Linked DNA regions of Rhinolophus ferrumequinum. The main gene of each other region encodes a partner of the protein of the gene in region 3 in a complex. Links are inferred from orthologs where the notes say so. Each region holds a gene or a part of one and is shown on either strand. Other genes may lie near its edges.

Evidence for each region.
Region 1: DPM2 (region 3) and DPM3 share a complex: the UniProt entries of both Homo sapiens proteins name them as parts of the dolichol-phosphate mannose (DPM) synthase complex. The link is inferred for Rhinolophus ferrumequinum from reciprocal best matches to the Homo sapiens genes DPM2 and DPM3.
Region 2: DPM2 (region 3) and PIGY share a complex: the UniProt entries of both Homo sapiens proteins name them as parts of the glycosylphosphatidylinositol-N-acetylglucosaminyltransferase (GPI-GnT) complex. The link is inferred for Rhinolophus ferrumequinum from reciprocal best matches to the Homo sapiens genes DPM2 and PIGY.

Annotation. Positions count from the first base shown.
Region 1 is NC_046305.1:210,535-217,412, forward strand, and holds DPM3 (dolichol-phosphate mannosyltransferase subunit 3), read right to left. Parts: upstream 1,941-6,878; 5' UTR 1,792-1,940; intron 1,691-1,791; 5' UTR 1,686-1,690; coding exon 1,407-1,685; 3' UTR 1,337-1,406; downstream 1-1,336. Other genes in the region: SLC50A1 (sugar transporter SWEET1), read left to right, coding at 1-70, 323-442, 524-625. UniProt on the Homo sapiens protein: Stabilizer subunit of the dolichol-phosphate mannose (DPM) synthase complex; tethers catalytic subunit DPM1 to the endoplasmic reticulum.
Region 2 is NC_046288.1:42,455,357-42,462,131, forward strand, and holds PIGY (phosphatidylinositol N-acetylglucosaminyltransferase subunit Y), read right to left. Parts: upstream 1,285-6,775; 5' UTR 1,248-1,284; coding exon 1,032-1,247; 3' UTR 889-1,031; downstream 1-888. Other genes in the region: PYURF (protein preY, mitochondrial), read right to left, coding at 1,341-1,482, 3,025-3,224. UniProt on the Homo sapiens protein: Part of the glycosylphosphatidylinositol-N-acetylglucosaminyltransferase (GPI-GnT) complex that catalyzes the transfer of N-acetylglucosamine from UDP-N-acetylglucosamine to phosphatidylinositol and participates in the first step of GPI biosynthesis.
Region 3 is NC_046295.1:76,946,391-76,954,766, reverse strand, and holds DPM2 (dolichol phosphate-mannose biosynthesis regulatory protein), read left to right. Parts: upstream 1-4,932; 5' UTR 4,933-5,000; coding exon 5,001-5,093; intron 5,094-5,296; coding exon 5,297-5,386; intron 5,387-6,386; coding exon 6,387-6,489; intron 6,490-7,258; coding exon 7,259-7,314; 3' UTR 7,315-7,959; downstream 7,960-8,376. Other genes in the region: EEIG1 (protein FAM102A), read left to right, coding at 180-225. UniProt on the Homo sapiens protein: Regulates the biosynthesis of dolichol phosphate-mannose. Regulatory subunit of the dolichol-phosphate mannose (DPM) synthase complex; essential for the ER localization and stable expression of DPM1.

The DNA.
Region 1 (6,878 bases), on a different chromosome or scaffold from region 3:
GCTTCAGCAGCTGGGCCTCTTCTGCAGTGTCTTCACCATCAGTATGTACCTCTCACCACTGGCTGACTTGGTGAGTGGGGATGTCCAGGGAGGTGCGGGAGATAAGAAGGGTCGGGCTCCCATAGCTAGAGACTGTAGCTTACACGCCCCCAAAGAAGGGAAGATACAAATCCTGCAAGGAGACGGGTGAGTGGGAGGCAGCAGGGAAAGGTTGGGTGACAAGATCAGGGAGCATGTTTGACCTTTTTTCCGAGGAAATTCTCAGGCAACGTGGGAGCTTTATTGCGTCTGGGCTAGGAGTGTCTCTCATCCTTTCCAACAGGCCAAAGTTATTCAGACTAAATCGACCCAGCGTCTCTCCTTCTCACTCACCATTGCCACCCTCCTTGCCTCTGCCTCCTGGACCCTCTATGGGTTTCGACTCAGAGATCCCTACATCATGGTAAGCAGCACCAGGATGGGCTGACAGGTGTACAAGGTGGGAAATCAGCTCCTTGCCTCATTGCAGCCCTTGTGGTTCCAGGTACCCAACCTTCCAGGAATCCTAACCAGCTTCATTCGCCTCTGGCTTTTCTGGAAATACCCCCAGGCACAAGACAGGAATTATCAGCTCCTGCAGACCTGAGGCAGTTCACCTGACCACGGGGCACCTTAATGCCCACCTGTTACCAAAGAGAGCTCCTTCTTTCAGCTGTTTCTGCTGACCAGTTTCACAGGTGCCATGGGTTATGGGCAAGAAAAAGAGACAACTTTGAATTGAGAGACCAAAGAAAGAGCTTTACTTAGAAGATTGCGCGGGCCCTGGGAGATGAAACACTTATTTTTCGGAAATTATATTTTTTAATTTTGGGGTTGGGGTGAAATCTTTAGAATGTGCCTTAAAATAAACTGTTCCCTATCCCTGCCCATCATGGCTCTTCAGTGCTTCTCAACCTGCCTGGTTGGGTGAAGGGTAGAGGTGCACGACCAGATCCACAGTTACTCTTGGGCTGATTAGGTTGGCTCAGCAGAGAAGGAGAAAGAACCAAGAGCAACCTAGGGGTGACCTAGGAAGGCCTTAAAAAGAACAGAGCTTGGATATTGTGAAAAAGCTGGTAAGTTCAGCTTCAAATATTTCCTGACAGGGTCAAAAGGACCAGAAATGTGAAAAACATCTCCATCCTGAGAAGAGAAGGGGGTCTTTGTCTCCTTTGGAGCAAAAAGCAGAAACACCAGCAGGCTGCAAACATAAAGGCTCAAATGGCCTCAGGAAGGTGGCTCGCCCGCCTCTCACTTCTCCACAGCTGGTACACAGAAGCCCCAATTCCCATTCCCCATATTCAAACTGAAAACAAAGTTAGGGAGTAAGCGCGCTCTTTAATGGGGGACAGAGGGGCGGGCTGTCCCGGAGCCAAGGGGTGAGGGTGTCAGAAGCGCATCCCCCTGCGGGCTAAGTCGGCTCGGGCCTCCTGTATCTGGCTCTGCAACTCGCGGGCGGCGTCCTCGCAGTCATGAAAAGTGGCCACGCGATAGCCCACAGTGCCCAGGGCATAGCAGCCGGCGGACACCAGCAAGTAGGCGGGCAGTGGCCACAGGACCTCCCGACATGACAAGGGCAGCTCCAGGCCCAGGGCTCCCATGGTCAGGGCCGCCCAGACGGAGCCCAGGAGCGCCAGTGCCCAAAGCCACTGCGCTAATTTCGTCATGGTCGCTGCGGGAAGAGAAAGCAGAGTTCGAGGTCCTTCCGCCTCGCGACCCTCACTTCATCCGAGACCCATTCCACCCCTCACTACCCCGCCCCGTTTCACCTACCCTCAGCACCGCTCCGCCATCTCTCTCGCCCACCTCATTCAGCGTTCAAGCTGCACGTACTCTGCCGCGCTTCCCCTTCCGCGCACTTCTGACGTCACGTCCAGGAGTCCTCCGCGGCTCGCGCTCCGCCTCCGCGCGGCCTTCTGGGAGTTGTAGTCCTCGTGGTGGCGCTCGGAGTGCTCTTGGCCCGCGCCGTTTCGCTGAGCTGAGTTCAGCTGGCTCTGCTCTGCAAACCGCCTTGGGTCCTGAGGGCTGTCGGTGCTGCTTCTCTCCCTCAGGACCCCGCTCCAAGCTGGCGTGGGGCTTGCAGAAAGCCTGAGGCCACTGATAAACCTTGCAACAAAATGGGAATGTAACGTCGTTTCTCTTAAACTTCACTTCTACAGAGAAATCCCACTGGTTCATTCTTTTATCTGTTCTTTTATTCATGCATTCGAACGTTTCTTGAGCTCCATGATAGGTTTTGGAGAAATAGAGATATCAAGGTACTGGGCCCCTCCTGGGGCGGAGGTGGGAAGGAGGAGTCAGGTACACAGATGCATTGACCACTGCTTGAGATAGGTGTTAGGACAAAGGTGGTCATATTTTTCAAAAGGAACGCAGGGGAGCAACCAGTACAGCTTGGAGCCAGGGGAAGAAGGGCTCCGGGAGGTCGTCTTTAGAGAAAAAAGTTTGGGGACAGAGGAATTACCTGACACACTTAAGGTATTGAGGGAAGGTCCACACATCTTTCAAAGAGCTTGGTGGATGAGTTTCTGATAGGTATATAGAAAACCAAATAAAAGCAAAGGTCAGGCAATTATCAACTTCAGGGAAACAGCTATAAAAGCACGGAAAGAAAGAACTGATAAAAACCTGCCTGATAAAGACCAGTAGGAACATACTGTATGTTGGACAGAGTTAGGCTTATTAACTTGCTGCTCCAAGAGAGAGCCCACACACCAGCAGAGCTGAGGAGCGGCTCGTCAAAGGAAAAAACAGGTTCCTTACAGGATGTGGGAAAGGTGGAGTTTAGGTAATACTGAAATAAAGCAGTGTTTTGATAGGTTCAAGGTAAGCATGGACGTAAGTGAGGGAATCAACAGCAAGCCTCGCCTGAGAAGTGGACTGAGGGTCCACCTGGCAAACAAAATTAAGATAATTAATTGTAGATAATTATGTAATAGATAACACAATTAAGATGAATCTAGACTGTTGTGTCCAAAACCCCATTATCTGGAGCTTGGCACCCATGTTGGAAATCGCTGCTGCTTTGTGCCAAAGTAATCCACCTGGCTTTGACCTCCACGCAAGAGTGGGACGTTCCATTCTCACTGATTTTAAACAGCAAAGTTTATGACCATGATTTTAGAGAATGAAGTTTCTCAGCCCTATGTCCTTCATGTTGATTAACAAAAGCAGTTTTTACAGACTTACGGAGTCTTCGTACAAACACTACATAACTCAGCTGTGAAGAATATTTTCACAGCCATAATAATGTGAACACTGAGAGACTGAGTTAACTAAAAATTGCAATACATTTGAAGTGAGAGGGTGGAGGTGGGGAGAGAACTACATCCTCATCGTCCATGGCAGGCAGTCAACTGAGTATATCTAAAATAGAAAAAAAGATAATAATATAAGCATATTATTTAGAAATGAAGAGGGACATACCAAAAGAAGCCGCCAAGAAACTTGAGAATGGTTTATGAAAGGGCATGTGTGTAGGGGCGGGAGAGTGGAGCAGGAGGCTGAGTTTTCATTAAATGCCTTGCAGAAATGTTGGCTTTTTAAACTATGCAAATTCCTTTGTTAAAGTAAGAATTAAGACAAAATAAAAACATTTTTGAAAACCTGCTATAGGAATTTCAAAGCCCCACCCCCTCCCTTCCCCATTCCCCCCAAAATCCTATTGGTTGTTCACTCAAGACCTCACTGGTCTCAGCTACTTTCAGCACAGGCCAGGGGCTAGGCAACAGCTTGGCAGACCCGGAAATTCTGTTTTATTCACCCACAGTAGACCTGGCTCTGAACAACTGCCACTCCCCAGAACATTTTTGGGGGGAAGATAATGAGAAGGGACTACAACACATAAAGACACCTAATAAATTATAACGTTGTAATAATAATCTGCAGAAGAAGAGTAAACATTCATTGAGGGGCCATTATGTGTCATGCCCTGTCCAACACTCATGTTTTATATACACGCCGCCGTAGGTACTTTTATATCTCCATGTAAGAGTGAGGAAACCAGAACAGAGAGCGATAGTAAAAGGTGAGTACCTTGCCTGAGGTCATGCATAGTAAGTAGCAGAAGCAGAGCTGTCCCATTAGCTCAAAGGTATGTGCTTAGTAATTTCACCCCCCTGAGTTCCTGGCCCAGGGGTGGGCAGGAACCATCATAGTAACCACCATGACAGCTGACATTCATTGATGGATTACTCTGCCAAGCACTGTAATGAGTACTTTCTGTGCATTATCTCATTCTGTCATCACAGCCATCATATGAAATAGGAACTATTATTATCTCCATTTCACAAATGAGGAAACTGAGGCACACCCCAGATAATCTGACTTTAGAGCTGCAAGCCCTGCCACTGCAATCTAGTACCTCCCTCCTGAGATCAACGGAACAGAATAAAAAGTGAAGAAACAGATCAAACATATACCAATTTAGTATACGATAGAGAGGGCAACTCAAGAGAGTAAGGAAAGATGAGTTGCTTGAAAACCATTTGCAACTAGGTTACCATTCGAAAAAGTAAATTCAGTTAGATTTCAACCTCACATCTTACACCAAAATTAATTCCTAGTGCATGAAAAAATATTGAATGTGGGTGTGGCTGATTAGCTCAGTTGGTTAGAGCGTGGTGCTAGTAATATCAAAGTTGCCGGTTCGATCCCCGCATGGATCACTGTGAGCTGTGCCCCATTTAAACAACAACAAAAAAATTGAATGTGAAAAGTGAAACCCTAATAATGCCACAAGAAAATGTGGGCACATATTTCTCTAATGTTGAGCTTAAGCATCAGGTCCTCCAACCAGCCTTCCTGGCACTTGACCTTGTCTTGCAGCGTTGTTCACCATCTTCCTTCTCTGAGCTCCCATAGCCTCTTTTCTAGATGGCACTTACCATATCCAGCTGGAGGTTTGTTGTTTCCCTGCTTGGTCCGCCCAGGACCAGTGTATCTCCAGGACCAAGCACAGTGTGGGAAACCCAGCAGGCCTGTAAATGTAAGATGAAGGGCAGAGGGAAGGACAGATTAGCATCTGACGGTCTCCAGGGAAACTGACTCAGCTTTCCTGGTCCCAGGAAATATAACTACTCCAGACACTGTCATCTGCCAAACACGGACAGGGTCTTTGGCCTTGGCTAGCCCTGGACGAAAGCCGGCCATTTCTGGGGGCGGCTGGATGGCTCAGTTGGTTAGAGTGCTAGCTCTCAACAACAAGGTTCAATTCCTGCATGGGATGGTGGGCTGCGTCCCCTGCAACTAAGATTGAAAACAGCGACTGGACTTGGAGCTGAGCTGCACCCTCCACAACTAGATTGAAGGACAACTTGACTTGGAGCTGATGGGCCCTGGAGAAACACACTGTTCCCCAACATTCCCCAATAAAATAAAATAAAAAAAGCCAGCAGTTTCTGATGGTCCAGCTTCTTGCTTGCCAATCTTTTGCAGACCATCAATCACCCTTCTGCTGTTACAAGAGGGCACAGTACACATGATTAGAGCAGGGGATGAGGGGCAGCACAGCTTGGGGATTTTAAATGTGGGCTTTTAGGGCCCAGTTTTCCAGACTTGGGTCCTTTACTTAGCTATGTGACGTTGGGCAAGTAACTTAACCTCTCTGACCCTCAGTTTTCTCAGCTGCACAATGGAATCAATAACTGATCCTCTCTCTCGTAGGGTTGCTTTCAAGATGAAAGGAAATAAGGTAGGTTGGGTACTTAAAACAATGTGCGGCATTTGGGGGGCACCCAGTAAGTGTTAGTCTTGTTCTTGTTATGAATCACTGTCATGAGTTCCAGCTCAGGGCTGAGGAGGCCCCTTTGCTCCTGCAGTATTTCCCCAGCCTCCTTCCCATCACTCCCAAACCATTTTCTGAGGTATTCCTTCTGAAGATGGCGACGCTCATGTTTGTGGGGGTTTTCTGTTTTTGCAAGCTTTGATTTCAGAGGGAGACAAATTCCAAATTTGGTAGCTTTTATTCTAAAGTGCACAGAAGATGGGGGAAGTTGCAAACTTACATACAACACAGCACAGAGGAGGGAATTGACAGGGCTGGTGTGTGTGTGTGAAGACTTCAGAGAGCCCTTGACATCTGAGTTGATACTGGAAAGATGACTAAGAGTTGTTCAGGTGAGGGGGTGGGGCATGCGAGCCCAAGGGAAAGCGTGAACAAAGGCACACAGGCTGAGAGTCTGGTGAGTAATCCTCTGTGGCTGTCCCTGGGACAAAGACGGCTTCCTGGGGAGCGGCAGGAGATGAAGCTGGAAAAGCAGGCCAGGCTGTTAAAGACCCCTTCAAAGTATTTGTGTGTGTGTGTGGGGGGGGGGTGGGACGTGGGGGTTGGTCCCTCAAGTCAGCAGCTTCACCCCTTAGAGGAGTAGGTGACCCCCATATGTGCTTGTGTGTATCATGTCAGACAGTAGAGCTTTCTGTGTGCCCACAGGTGCCAAGGTTATTACTGGTCCTTGGAAAGGTTCCAGGTGGTCAGGTTGTGTTGACTGCATTCCTGTCCTCAGGGCACCCACCATTCCATTGGGGCCACAGGACAGACACACCTGTAATCAACAAAACACACACTCTCAAAATTACAGCCAGGCTTTAGGAGGCAATGGTAGATCCGAGATGGTGCAGCTGATTGGAGAAAGGGCTGGGTGCTGGTAGGGGAGAGGAGACCAAGATGGGACAAGAAGATAGCCTGAGGGAGGAAGGACCAGGAACAGGCCTGGCAGCTGATTCTGGGGATTCAGTAATTGGGAGCTTAGCTTTAACTAAGAGCTGTGGCAGTGGTGTGTTGAAGGGGTTCCTGGTTCTTCTTCTAACAGATATGTATTGAGAACCTACTAGACATCAAGCAGTGTTCTATGAACAAAACA
Region 2 (6,775 bases), on a different chromosome or scaffold from region 3:
GAGAACAAAGCTGTATTGCATTTTACGGCATGGTTTCACGTTCTTTTGATGGATAAGAATCACTGTCTAAAGCTTCTGTTAAACTACTTTAAGATTCTAGTAAGAATCAATTAAGTTTAGTATATTCAATTCTTAGTTTCTTTAGGGTAACTACTGAAACATTTGTTATACCTCTAAAATAGTTATTGTACTATTCTCTATCAGTCTTGTTGAAAGTTCTGGAAAATCAGGAACTATTAATGTCTCTGATACTCATGCCCTTAGTAGTGCTAAACAGGTCTCCTAAGGCAGGAAAATAAACTAAAATGTGGCTCAAAACACAGCTGTAAGTGCAATAGGACACAGCTATTTGCAAGTCTTCTAACCCTACCTCTACCTCCAAAAGTACATACTTTCCTGGGAAATTATTCTATTTGGCTATTAAGTGTCTAAAAATAGCCTACATTTTAAATTTTAGAATACTTTTTCACTTTTCCCTTCCTTAGACCCACATTCTTGAGACCAAAAACAAAATATACAAAACCATGAAAACTTTTATGGAAAAGTGTTGTCTTATTAGTAATGTAAGCATTTGATACCAAAGAAATGAATTTTACAAACTCAGAATTTCTGCAAGTCCATAAAATTTCCACTTTATTGTAGTTTTATATCACACTAGTTCAAATGCGTTTCTCTCCAACTATTCTAACATAGCTCTGGTGGAATTTACTGCAGTCATCTGTAACGTGACTTTACCAAAGACTTCTACTCTAAAACATAAAATTTCAAATGAACTTTCAGATGAATGGGGTAAGAAATAAAGTCATCAGATGATGGTCAGGACTATAATTTCAAACAACACACTTTTGTTGAAATGTTTCTTCTGACATAGCCGTTATAAATTAGATCCCATAGTCCTAAGTCTGACAGAAGTAAGGTAAAGCATCTTTCCTACAAATTAGGCGTGTGCCTGGTATTTCCATACAGCTGAGCTTTCAGATATAGACACTCAACATAGCATTAATGTATGTACCATCTGGGCTCTAGCTGCATTAATTATGCCTGAAGAGTTTAATGCCCATCCAAGTCCAAAGGTGGAAGAACACATAAACTGGTACAGTAATGGGTAAGAGCAGACTATAAAAGCACAGGCTGGCTGTGCTGGTGCAGCCCTGTGGGAAGTTTTCTTCCACAGAGGCCGAGTAGAACAGTCCTGCTAAAGAGACCAATGGAATAAGGACAGTCAACACAGGAAGAGAGAGAAACATTCTTCTCCTCCACTTATTACCTGCCACCCTGACTTTTTAAAACGTAGATGGTATTAAGAAAATTTAGTTGTGTTTGTTGTTTTTAATTATGATCTAGTGTTGCTCCGTATCTTCTTGTTTCTTATTTTGCTGTGTCATCCTAGCAGCTTGTGGTATCATATTAGGAATCCCATCAATAATTGGATAGGCTATTCCCAATTCTTCATTAACCAATTCATTTGTTGATGCTTCGTATCTGAGGGAAAAGAAAAATAAAATGAATCGTGGAAAACAAAATGCTTGGAAGAGCTTGATGTTTAATAAACACCACTGTTTATCCAATTCTTCAGAGTTAATCCCAGAAAAGCAGAATTAAACTTTTAATTCTATCAAATATATGGTGATGGAAGGAGAACTGACTCTGGGTGGTGAACACACAGTGGGATTTATAGATGATGTATTATAGAATTGTACACCTGAAATCTATGTAATTTTACTAACAATTGTCACCCCAATAAATTAAAAAAGAAAAACAAAACAAAACAAAAAAACTTAATTCTACAAGCAGCAATAGTCAAACCATTTCTCATAGAAAATGAATCTCTAATCGTTCCCATTTTAGTCAGTTTCTCATATTTTTTTCACTTTATTCGCAAGCTACGCCTTAATTTTTTAAAATACCAGTCAGAAAAGCTCTCCCTTTTTCATCCAAACATTCCTTCATTACTCTGGTCATCTCCAAAACCGTCCCAGTTAATTTACTACTGGGACAGAGAAAATTTCAACTTCCTTGTTTTAGAATACAGGCGTACTAGAGCAGCCTAACTGATCCATTAGAAGAAAACCTCTGAAAAATCAAAGTACACAAAAGTTTGTGAAAGCTGAAAAGGCAGAAATGAGAAAATTGGAAAACCAATCTGCAGTGAGCTAGTTACACAATTAGCTAAAAGGTAGATCAAATGATAATTTGAAGGTTTAAGAAAATTGAGTATGTTAATTATAGGAAAAATTTAGAAAGAAATGCAAAAAGATGAAAATTAAAATTATTAGCAATCTACCACCCAAAGCTAGCCACTCATAACATCTTGATGTTCAGTATATTCAATCTGCAATACTCGTGTTGTCAAAATTCAGTTTTAGCAACCTGGAACTGTAGTTGTTTATCCTAAGGATTGTAAGCTAAAGGTTAAGGAGGCCTTTACAAAACCAGCTAGTCCAGAACTAAAAGCCAAAGGGCAGCACACGTAGTTTACACGCTTAAGATAGTCAGGCATCAGTTGTAGACATTTTCACAAGAATCTGGAGGCTACTACGGTATTTTTTTTTCCATCATCTTGGCTTAAAAACGTGAATGCTATGGACTACTCCTGAATCCCACTACTTCATAAACCTGGCTGTGTATTAGATTATACACTTTGCGTCTTTCTAAGAAAATACAGAATTGCTCAGGCCCTGCCCTCAGACCTTCCGACTCGGTCGCCTGGGATATTGCCTGGGAATCTACACTTTTAAAAGGTACCCCGGCAATTCTAACGCCCAGTCCGTGGCGAACCTCTAAGTTTCTATTCAGGCCTGCGGGTCGGCGGTTGGATTTGGGAGGCCTGGGGCTTGGCTCTCCTCCCGCCTTTCCTGCCACAGAGGGAGATGCGTGGGAACTGGCGGGCCCCCAGAAAATGGCAGCGGAGACTACCCGGATTGACCTGAAAGGCTCCCCCACGGCTGCAAGCGGCCGCGCGGTCCCCTTGCCTCCTCCCCGCAATGGGAGGCCATGAAAGGAAACGCAGCCGGCTAATCTTACTTGAGCGGCTTCTTGGAGAGCGGGCACACCAAGAACTCCAGCAGCGCCGGGTCGAAAGCTTGGGGCACTTTCCCCCTCTCACTCCCGTCCGCCGACGACCGCGACCTCGACACGCGCAGGCACCTACGGGCGACCACGAACGACGGCGCGCGTGTCTGCCGCAGCACTGAGGCGAGCCTGCCCCTCGCTCCACTCAGCATGGTCTGGCAGCCCGCGACCGCCTCTCACCGCGCCCTTCGCCAGCTCGGGCCGCTCTAGGCGATTTCCGCACTTCCAGCCGACAGGCCAGTCCCCGCCCCCCGGTGCTCTGGAAACTCAGCCCCGGGCAGGCGGGGCCGAGCGCTTTGGTTCCGTGGGCACTCCCGACTGCTTTTAGCCGCAGCACTGCTCGATAAGAGTGCTGAGCGTGACCTGCTACCGGAGGCGTCTGGTGGCTGTTCCACCGCGTTTACCATTTACAAACAAAACCAATGCATAAGTCGGGGTTCCTTGAGTTTTCACCAGAAACGGTCGCAGGCTGCCAGGAAACATTGGCCGGACTTCACAGTCACACACTATTAGTCTTGGACCTATGTGGTTATCTCCCAAATGAAGTTTCAAACACTGTCATGTTGGGTATGTTAAAAGCATTAATTTGTTTTATGTAAATCTTTATTATATCACAGTTCCTGTAACCGTGTTTGGCAAATTTCTTTTTCTTCTCTCATTTAAAAAGATTTAAGAACCTGAAAAGAATGGCTTGGTCTTGTTAACGTTCCAAGACATCCAGATTCTTACCCTGAGGGATTCATGAATTCAATTATATAATAACTCACAATTAATTTACTTGTATAAATGAGCTTGGAGACATCGAGGACTCTAAATAACTGCGTGATCATGCAGATGTCCATTAGTTAAGGGGGTGATCCATTTAGTGGATTTTTCGCCCTATATTTGTCTCTGACTCTCCAAGGAATTGATATAGGTTTGATCTCTTTCTTACGGTTTAGTAGATAAGGATTTGGGGTTCTGGGGCCTGACAGTTTGGTTCCAGGTCCATAGTTTACCAGCTAAGTGACTCCAGCAAATGACTTAATTACTCAGGTTTCTTATCTGTATAATAAGATTCATAATTATACCTACCTAATGAAATCCCCTTGTGGGGATTAAAATGTCCTAATGCATTCCGAACATTTAGAAAATTGCCTGGAACAAATTAATGCTCAATTAATGTTATCTATTGTTATTTTTATTTCCTCTGTTCTTCCCAGTTCAATACACTACAAGATTTTTTGTTAGTCATCATTTTTCCCCCTTTGTTTTGCTGAATATTTACTTGAACCTTCTTGACATCAATGGGCTTTACCATTTCACACTTTGAGCTCCTGGGAGGTAGGAATGAGGGTGAGGGATATACATACACAAACTTCTCTTCCACTCAGCAATGTAACAATAAACTGAGAAAATTTTACATTGTTTGCTCACTCTATTTTTTAAAATCTACTACATTATTTAACACCCTTTGTTCACTAGTGTTCAGAAGATTTCAGCTCAGGGCAGTTGTCAGGTTTGTAGCCTCAGGAAGGACAATTTCAAAGTTCCTATGTTATCGTCACATTATTTCCTCCGAGGGCAGTAGCAGCAATTAATTTTTCAGTTTGTAGTTAGTTGATACTGTGGGCCCTAGGGAGAGAGTGAATTATAGGAAAGATACGTTTCAGTGAGGTATGGGGAAGCAGAGCTTGATTTCTGCCAGCACTAAGTGGGCCAGGCCAGGCTGGGCAGGCTAGGTGTGGGTAGGGGCAGGCATGCGTGGTTAAGGCCAGCTTCGTTAGCCTCAGCTGCCTGGCCTGCCTGACAGATCCCTATCAACTGGATTTGCTAACCAGTTATAAATAAATTAGTTTCAGTTTGCCTCCACATAGAAGGCTTGAAGCAGATCAGTTTACTTTCATTTATATTAGTATTGGGGAAAAATGGAGAGTAACAGCAAAGTACTGAAAACATCTTCAAATTTATAGCAGCAAAAATCTACAACTAATATGTAAGGAACATAAAAGTGTATTAATCCAAACCATGTAAATACAAGTTGCAAAATGTCAAAGCAAAATGTTCCTTAACGGCTCTCAGTAATTAAGGAATGCAACTAAGTTTTGCATGTAGTATACTAAGCTGAAGGTAGGTGACAGTATAGAATTGTAAAATCATTAGTCTTTTTTTTGACTATTGGTGTGACTATGATCTTCCTTATCACAGAGCCCTGTACACACATGTAATAACACGATGGGCTATGGGCTCAGGTACCGTATTAGCTGTGTGACCTTGGGGAAGATACTTAAACTCTCTGCCTCAATCGTCTAAAATATAGGCATACCTGGTTTTATTGCACTTGGCTTTATTATGCTTCACAGATGTTGCATTTTCTACAAACTGAAGGCAAGACCTTCCACCAGCGAGATTACAACTCTCTGTATTATGATACTTGTTTTTTTATGGTGGTCTAGAACCAAACCTGTGATATCTCCCAGGTACACCTGGCTGTAGCATTATAATAGTACCTACTTTATTACAGCTGTTGGGAGGATTAAATAAAATAATACAAGTAAAGCAGTTAGCACAGGGGCTGGCATAGACTACTCATTTAAAAGAATGTTATCAGCAGCAAAATTACTTATTATGGTGAAATTGGTGAAAATGCTGATGAAAAAGGAAAGCATAAAGTATCACCTTAATTTTAACTAACATGGAATTTTTATAGTTTCCAATGTGAATATTATTGAAACACACTCTTGGGCTATTCTATACATTAAATGAGTTAAAAATCTCCAGGCAGAGGAGAGGCTATGTAGAATACATATTTTAATAAAGTCCCATAAATACTAAATTTGGGGGCATTGAAATTACGGACTCTGATCCAGAGAGTAAGTTAAAATCAGTGTTCCACTAGATGGCATCATTCAGTATTTGAACTAACATTTATTTCTGCTTGTACTTTTCTTTCTGTGATTATGAAGATTTGCCTTTATGTTGACAGTTTCCTTAATTTGATAACATCTATTTTAGGAACAAAAATCACAAAATATTTATTAATAAGTTGCAATTGTAATGAGTACATTAAAAACAAACGTCCAATAAATGGACAAAAATATGAAAAAAATTCATGAAAGAGAAAATACAGTTGCTTAATAAAAACATAGAAAATATTCATCCTCAATAGTAAAGTAATGCAAATTTTGAACATCAAAGAAGTTTGCATTTCTCACCTATAACATAATAAATATGTTTAAAATATAATTCTTAATGTTGGTCATTCATTTATTAATTTATTGAATGCTCACTAAGTGTCAGGTACTGTCTGGATTAGTCGCGGTTCGCCAGAGAAACAGAATTAATGGGAAATATACAGAAAGGGATTTATTATGAGAAATTGGGTCACATGATTAAGGACACTGAGAAGTCCCACAATCTACTGTCTGAAAACTGGAGGTCCAGGAAAGCTGGTGGCGTAAATCTAATCTGGTCCGAAGGTCTAGTGGAGCGAATGGTGTAAATAAATCCCTGTCCAGCGGCAGAAGACAGATGTCGCAGCTAATCAGCCAGGTAGGAAGCAAAAGATTTGAATTCTCCTTTCTCCCCTTTGTGTTCTCTTCAGGCCCTGAACAGATTGGATTATGCCCATCCACATTGGGGAGGGCAATCTACTGAGTCCACAGATTCAAATGCTAATCTTATCCAGAAATGCCCTCACAGACACAGCCAGAAATAATGTTTA
Region 3 (8,376 bases):
GATCCCACAGACTCCGATACGTACACCTGTGTCACCCTGGGCAAAGGACTCAACTTCTCTGAGCCTCAGCTTCCCCCTCTGCAGAATGGGCCAGTTAACGGTGCCTGCTTGTGAAGTACTTCCAAGGCCTGGCCCAGAGGAGCGTCGGGGAGGGCGAGCTGACCTGTCTCTCCCCACAGGGTCTCCTCTGGGGTCTACGAGCCAGTTGTGATTGAAACCCATTGAGGAGCGAGTGTCCAGGCTGGAGAAGGGCCCTGCCTTCAAGGGTGTCCAGACCCACGTCATTCCACGAGGGATCTTCCCCTTTGGATCACCATCCACGCCACGTCTCATCTGTGCCTCCTCCATGCACTCCAGCCCCTCTCCTGCCTCAAAGCATCATTCCATTGTCCCCCCATCTGTGCTGGGACCCTCCTGGCCCGGTGGGGCCCGGGCGCCACTGTGAATATTCTCTCTGAACCACTAAAGGGCAGGACACACAGGCCCATGAAGTAGGTGGGCAAGACAAAGATGGCCAGGATGCCCCGCTGGATACCGACATGCCCCCTGGATGAGGACATGCAGCGGCTCCTACACAGGGCTGCTTGTGGCCGAGGGGCCTCTTGCCATGTGTCCCTGCTTGCTCCAGGAGCATCCGCTCAGCCATGTCCTGGCCGGGCTTTGTTCCATGGCCCCCTTGCCCTGGGGGCGAGGGGGGGGCACTTCATCTCCAGAATCCTGCCACCGTGGCCCTCTGCTTAGTGCTTCAGCTATCCCTTCCCTGTGCCCTGGGGGTGCCGCTGGCGGCCTCCTCCTGGAAGCCAAGTCCTCAGACCCCACCTACATTCTAGACTGAGACCCCGCCCCCAACGAATGTTCTCCTGCTGCCCTGGCAGCCTGCACTTTGCACACGCTTGTCTTTAGCACAGCCCCGCTGGCCCTCGCCTGCCCTTCCTCTGATCCCTTCCCAGGGGTTCCTGGGTGCTGCCTGCTGTGCAGTCAGCGGCCCAGCTTTAGCAGCCCGGCTGGAACGGGGCACTGCCTCTCCTCCCTCCCGTCAGCTCCAGCTCAGGCCTGAGACCCGTGCCGAGAAGGTTCCCTCTGCCCAGGGCTGGGTCTCGAGCAGCTGGTTTCCTGTAGGAAGCCTGGAAGGAGCCTCCCAAGCCCGTGGAGGTCGGGGGCCTGACCGTGCTGGGCAAGCACTGCCCCATTTTTCCCCTCAGGGTCAGCTGGCCCTGGCCTGGGACCAGTGCTAGAGGGGCAGGTGGGCTGTGACCGGACTGGCTGGAGCTGGCTTCCTGGCCAGAAAAGCCTCAGCCCTCCTCTGAAAGCACCCCTCTCTTTGGGCAAGGGAGAGGCAGGCCCTTTAAGGGGGGCTTTTCCAGCAGGGAGCAGTCTGGCTCTGCCCCTGCGCCTTGCTAACGCCTCTGCTCTGAGCACTTTCCTCCCGGTCCTCGTTATTTGCTTGAAGGTGGGTTCTGGCTGCCAGCCAGCCTCTGGACAGACTCCCCTGCCACTCTTAATTTCACTCATCTTTGTATAAACCCAGCAGGCTGGTGTTTACTTGGCCCTATACTTTTTTTTTCCTTTCCTCTTTTTTTCTTTATTTCTTTTTCTTTTTTTTTTTTTTAGGGTTCACAGTTTGATATTTTCTCCTCCCCCAGGTGAGGGGAGGTGGTTCTGTTCTCTGCCCTACCCGCTGGCTGGGTCCCAGCAGGGCTGGGGATCTGGATGGAGAGCCAGGATACGGGTTCTCTCTCTCGTAGGGGTTAGGGTGGAGGTGCCCTCCCCAGGGTGGGAAGGGTCCTTTCTGCCCAGCTGACAAGAGTTGGAGTCATGGTCTTGGAGCCTCCTGGCATTGGAGTCAGAGCATTTCTAGGATTTTGTGGTGGTTGTTATTGTTTTAATCACCTAACTCTTTTAGAAAATGAATGTTAGAAGGTGCCTGCCGAGGCAGGATGGAGCATTTGCTCTGGCTGGAGAAGGCTCTGGTCAGCTCTGTGGGTCCCTTCCTGCCCCGTAGACACCTGGCACTTTAAAAGGGGACCAGCTGCACTGTCTCCAGATGAAGTGGCCCCCAGAAGACGGGGCAGTGCCGCTCTTCCCTCTGTCTGCATGACCTCAGCCCAGTGGGGAGGTGCATTCAAGGTGTATTTGGGGTCTGATTCAAGTTCTGGGGCTTTAGGCATAAAGCAGCTGGCTTTGGTGCTGTTGGGGAGACTCCCCCAAAACAGGAACCCCAGCCCCTCTCTAGGCGAGGTCTGAACTTGACAGTCACCCCAGAAGGAGACAGAGCCTGCCACATTCTCCCATGACAGGCCCTGGGCCGGGGTAATTGGACAACTGAAAATTCGGCCACAACCAAATTGATGGTGGCTGGAGCTGGAGTCCGGAAGCTCCGGCCTCATCCCCATATGGGAGCTCTATTCTTCGGCCCTCTGGTCCCTTCAAGCTCAGTGAATTCGCACTAGGCACCCACAGCTCCTGGACTTAAAAATTCTATATATATAGAGAGAGATAGAATATATTAGAGATATTTTTGGAAAGGAATTGGTCTATGCAATGCCAGTTTGGAATCTTCTTGGAAGACAGTTTTAACATTTTTACTAGGAGATTTAAAGAAAATAAATACAATATTTTTAGGTTATTTTTTTCTAGTCACCCCACAAACTGACCATAGGGCATGATCTGCCAGGATGGAGAATGTCTACGTTTTCCTCTCTTTAGGGAAGTGAGCAGGGAGATGGGGGGGAAGAAAGGTCTTTTTTTTTTTTTAATTCCCCTCTTATCTAACAATGTCGCCACCACCACACCCTAATTCAATGGGCTGTGTTTGTATCCGTCCCAGCTTCTATTGTAGAAAATAACATTGTAAAGGGAAATCAGCCTAGTCAGTGTCTTGGTTTGGGGGACAAAATTAAATGTTGCAGTTTTTGTTTGTTATGGCATGTTGGTTCTTGTTTGTTTGTTTTACCAACTTGACTTTAGGATCAAAGCATCAGATGGAAGCCAGATGTGTAAGGTGATGGTCGGGGGTGGGGAAGGTGTAGGTGGCCAGGGTTCTCCAAGTCCCGGTGCAGTCACAATTGTGACCACCTTTATTACACCAGAGTCCCGGACAGGAAACGGGCCCTGGAGAGTAGTTTCCTGCCAGTCTCAGACCTCAGAGCCCAAGTTCTAACCACTGCTCTACGGACCTCCGCAGTAGTCAGGTGGCTTTGAACAAGCATGCCTGAAGACAGAAAACTGCCTGTGCCTCAGTTTTCTCAGCTGCGGGCTGTGAGGCTGTGGATCAAATGAGAAAGTGGGTGTACAGCCTGACCTATGGGAGGTGCCAAGTTCATTCCCATCCTCTAAAGCCCCAAGCCTGCATTGTCTCCAGGCCTAGGCCCCTCATCCCTGCCCTGTCTCAAGTTACAGAGCAGCCTGCACCAAGCTCTGGGAAAGGCAAGTCGCCCTGGGCCTTTAATGATCTCAGAAGTGGCAGGAAACCTTAGCGGCTTTGAACGGGCCAGAAGGGACCAGACTACCAGGCCTCATCCCTGTCACAGCACTGCATATCCTCACCCCTTCTCAGGGCTGATGTCCAGGCTGATTCTCAGTCCCTTCCTTTGTTCAGTGCACACCTGGGGAGGGAAAAGTTGGCTCCTGACTAAGCCCAAAGTCTCCTGAGACAGAGGGAAGGAATTGGGCTTTAGGCCCAAAAGGTTGCTCCTTTGGAACACAGTCATGCTAAATGAAAAATCAGCATACCAAAGGGCAGGGAATAAAAAGGTTGCTCCAGCAGTTGCCATAGTCAGAGATGGGCTCAGATGACCCAAGGAGGCAGATGCTGCCAGCCAGGTTCAATCTCCACGTGCCCCTCCACCCCCCAAAATGGAGACAGCAGGAGAGCCTCCACACAACCCCTCAGAAGGCCTGGAGTCCTCAGATGCTGAAGGCTAGCATTCTAGGATCTAAAATGTCAAAGAATCTTAAAGCCAGTTGGTTGATTCAAAGCTCCTACTTTGTGCCAAGCCCCATTCTGGGCATTGGGGATACAGCAGTGACCACAGACCCTAGGCTCAGGGAGCTCACAGGTGGGCCACATCAAGTAAATCGGCTAATTAAAACGGTGCTGAGAAGCGTCATCATGGAGACACAGTTGGGGCTGTGGAACACAGAGGAGGGAACCCCCGTCAGGGAAGTTGACTTCCCTGGGATGTGTAGCCCTGATGAGTGAGGAACAACTAGCCCACTAGCTTTGAGGAGACAGTGTTCCAGATTCCAGAGCTGGAGAACACATCAAAGGTGATGAGGCCCAACCTCCCCTTGCTCTCAGAGGAACGGACCTCCAAGCCTGGAGAGGATCCTGCACACGCGGCCATTCCCAAGACCTGCCTGGACTGCTGCTAGCGCTGCCGCAACACCCAGGGCCCCAGAGGCAGACGGTGAGGGAGGAGAGGGTCACCCTGGCCTCGTCCCTGCAGTGAAGACAGGACAGGGAAGCCAGGCGCTGGTAAGGGGACGCCTACCCTTACAGCCAATCGAAATGAGCCCCATCGCAGCAGGCTTGGGCCAGCCCCTCCTCCTCCACCCCCAGCCGGGCGGTGAACATTTTTTGCACCCTTCCCTCAACACACATTAGGGCCTCGGGACCAGGAAATAACTGGCATGCACACGCCAGGTTCTGGTGTCGGCTTCACCACAGACACGAATTGTGATCTCCCGCAAGTCCTCGCCCGTCTCTGAGCCTCATCAGTTTCCCCATCTGAGAAATGAGACTTCCAACTCTCCCCTACCAGATCTCGCTCTGGCTTTGGGACTCTGGGATATTTAGAAATGGGCTTTTCTTCAGGGGCGAGTTCGACAGGACTGAGGCCACGAGTACCAGCCGGTCTGGGTTCCCAACTCGGTCCCATTCTCTAGGGAGATTCGGGAACAACTTGTTCCCCCATACCCTTGAGAAACTACATTTCCCGACATGCAAATGGGGAGGCGGCGCCTGCCTGTCTTGGGCAACGTAGTTCTGGGGCGGCCTTATGTTCGGCGACTCCCGGCGTGCCCCGCAGCCGAGGGCCCAGATGCGGAACCGGATGTGGCTGGCTGCCCCGGTGCGGAGCACCGGGGAAATGGTGAGTTTGTGGCAGAGTGCTGGGGTTGGGGATCCCTGGTTTGTTTAGGAGCCGGAGCTTGGGCACTCGGAACCAGATTGCTCTCCCGCCGGCTCATTGTACAGATAAAAACGCTGAGGAATCAGACTGCGACGCCGCCCCCCCACCCCAGTAGTGCACCTAAATAGAGGCACTTCGTCAATTGAGCCCTCCCTTTTCTCCAGGCCACCGGGACAGACCAGGTGGTGGGACTTGGCCTCGTTGCCGTTAGCCTGATCATCTTCACCTACTACACCACCTGGGTGATTCTCTTGGTATGTGTTCTTCCTCCGCCCTCTCTCACCTTCTCCCATTCCTGGGTCCTGCAGCCGACCCCACTGTGTTAGGTGCTTTACCTGAATATCTTATGAAATCTCCGGAACAACACTGTGAGGAGGATGCCAGTGGTATCCCCATTTTGTAGATGAGGAAGCTGAGGTTCAGGGAGAAGGGTCGGACTCAAGGTCGCGTTCTTAACCGCTGCAGTGTAAAGCCCTGTTCCTGATTTGCTTTCCCTTTGATGGGTCCAATCCTTCTGGTTATTCTGCTGGCTCCCGGGCATGGCAGGTGCCAGTGGCTTTCGTGAGGGCCTTTCGGATGTGTGTGTGGAGCAAGGGTTTGGTGGTTAGTACTTATGTGCAGTGTGTTTGGAGGGCAAAGTCTTGCAGAACTTGGTATCGTTTGGGGAAAATTGTCAGTAAAGAAGATCTTGGAGCCCAAATTGGGAATTAGTTGAGGATTCCTCGTGTACCCTTTGCCCTTGCTAAACTGTGAGGGCATTAGGGCAAGTCCTTCGACTTCTGTTCACTGCCAGGTCCCTAGCACCCACTTAGGGCAGGTACCAGTCAAGTGCACAGTAAACTACCGTGTTTCCCTGAAAATAAGACTGGGCCTTATATTAATTTTTGCTCCAAAAGAAAAATTAGGACGTGTTTTCAGGGGATGTCTTATTTTTTCATGTACAACAATCTACGTTTATTCAAATACAGTCATGTCATCTTCTAGAACATCGTCGTAACGTACTAAGTGCGCCTGTCTGGCTGACGATCTTAACTGGGGCTTATTTTCGGGGTAGGTCTTATTTTCAGGGAAACACAGTATTAAATAAATGAAGGAAGGAAACAAACCAAGGCATCCAAAATGCCATCTTAAACAGAAGCAAATGCTGTCCCAGTGCTTTGAGTGGGTCAGCCCGAGACAGAGGAGGTGGGATGTTGGCTTGGGGGGGCTGGGCAAGGCAGGGAATGCTCACTGGAGCTCTGCCCTCGATGCCAGCCATTCATCGATAGCCAGCATGTCATCCACAAGTACTTCCTGCCCCGAGCCTACGCCGTTGCCATCCCACTGGCCGCCGGCCTCCTGCTGCTCCTGTTTGTAGGTAAGTCATCATGCCACCAACCCTGGGCAGGGTGTCTCCCACCCCTCCATGTGTGGCCACACTTTGGCACTTGCTGTATGTCTGCTTGCGGCTCTTTGCCCCCAATTCACCCCCAGGGTTTTCCTGTTCATCCTTCAGGGCTGCAAGTCAGTCTTCCCATGCCTCAGGCTCTCATGGGATGTCTCCCTTTTTCCGGTTCGCTCCACCGGCATTGCTCTGCTCACACCTCAATCACCTCTCACCCCCTTGTCACCCAGGCTCATGGTTCCTGCACCTCTTTGTCTCCCATGGTTTAGTTTGTGGGCTTCCCAGGACTGGGGCTTTATCATGACTGTGTCCTCACAGGCTGTGGCACTAAGCTGGTGCTCAATAGAGTGGTTTGGATTAGTCAACAATCGGATGACTGGATGATGCAGTCGGTGGGTGGATGCTGGATGTTGAGTGGGCAGGTGGGTGGGTGGATAGGTGGGTGGACAGGTGATGGATTGGGTGAGTAGATGGATAGCTGGGTGCAACTTGTACCCCATAGAATCTGAGAGACTAAATGTAGCAAACTGCCTGTGGCAGGCACTCAGTGGTGTGTTTCGAATGAATGTGGGTGGATGTGTGGCTTGATGGATGGCTAGGGAGATGACCAGGTGGTCTGGAGGGTGGTTGGGAGGGGCTTGGTCCCCTGTATGTGTCATTGTGCCATGCCATGCCCTGCTCTGGCCTTAACAGCAGCCCTGAGCCCCGATCTTATCTGGTCTTTCTGGTCTGTATATTCCAGGAGTGTTCATCACCTATGTGATGCTGAAGAACCAGGTGACCAAAAAGGCTCAGTGAAAGCCCAGCAGGGATGAGGCTGCTGGCCCCTTCTCTGCTTCCCCGCAAGGGCATACCAAGGGCAGGGGTCCACAGGACCTATTCAGGCACTGTGGCGCCCTCAAACCTGGCTGCTCTGCAGACACCCTGAAGGATGGAGCTGTTCAGAACTCACCCCTGACTGACAAGAGCACCCACTGCCCTGCTCACCTTTCCAGAAGCTAGGAGGGAGGAGTACCTGAAGTCTCCCTCTCTCCCCCTTCCGGCTCAGGGCCTGAAAGATGCTAGTCCTCCCTGCCTCACCTTCAGACTCTGTCATTTGTTTTCCTCTGGTTCCACCCTCTTGCCTCAGTTTCCCTCCTGTTACCTGCTGATACTGGATTTGGCAGGTTCTAAGACATCACATGACCTCTCCTCACATGTCCTCCTCCATGAAAGCAGCTTTCCCGGGTCTGACATAGCCCCAGATCCCACAGGACTTCTGGACCTGGAACACCTAGGCGGGGGGACAGACAGGCCCCAGGACCACCGCCAGGCCTCAGGGCGCATTAGAGTGGCCACACTGGGCCCCCAGACCTGCTGCTCGTCATGGAGACCCAGCCCCTCAGTCCTGACACTGGCCTTGGCCTGCTGGGGAGAACTGAACAATAAATGTTTTGGTGTGTTTGTTTCTGTGGCATCCCTGACCAGGAGAGCTGGGCTGCTTGTAGTCCGGAGAGGGTCTAGGAGCTGGCCTCGCACTAGTCTCAGGTCAGGAGACCCTGGTTTGTGCAATGAGGTGCCTCAGGTGCCTCCTGGATCGTCCCTATGCTGGACACGGGATCAGGAGGGAACTGGGACAGATGTGGTTTCAGCTTGTTGCAGCTCATGGCTGGGGAGTCGGTGGAGGCATGGCAGGCTACCAGACCCCATGTCAGCCTCCACCATGCCTCCCCTGTGCCAGCCCAGCCAGCGTGCACTAGGACTTTAGGGAGCCTCAGGCCAGGTCCCTAAAAGCTTAAGCCTGTCCATCCCTCGTACCAGCAGCCGCACTTAGTAGTAGCAATGAGCAGTGAGAGCTGCTACTGAGCCAGAGCAAAGTTG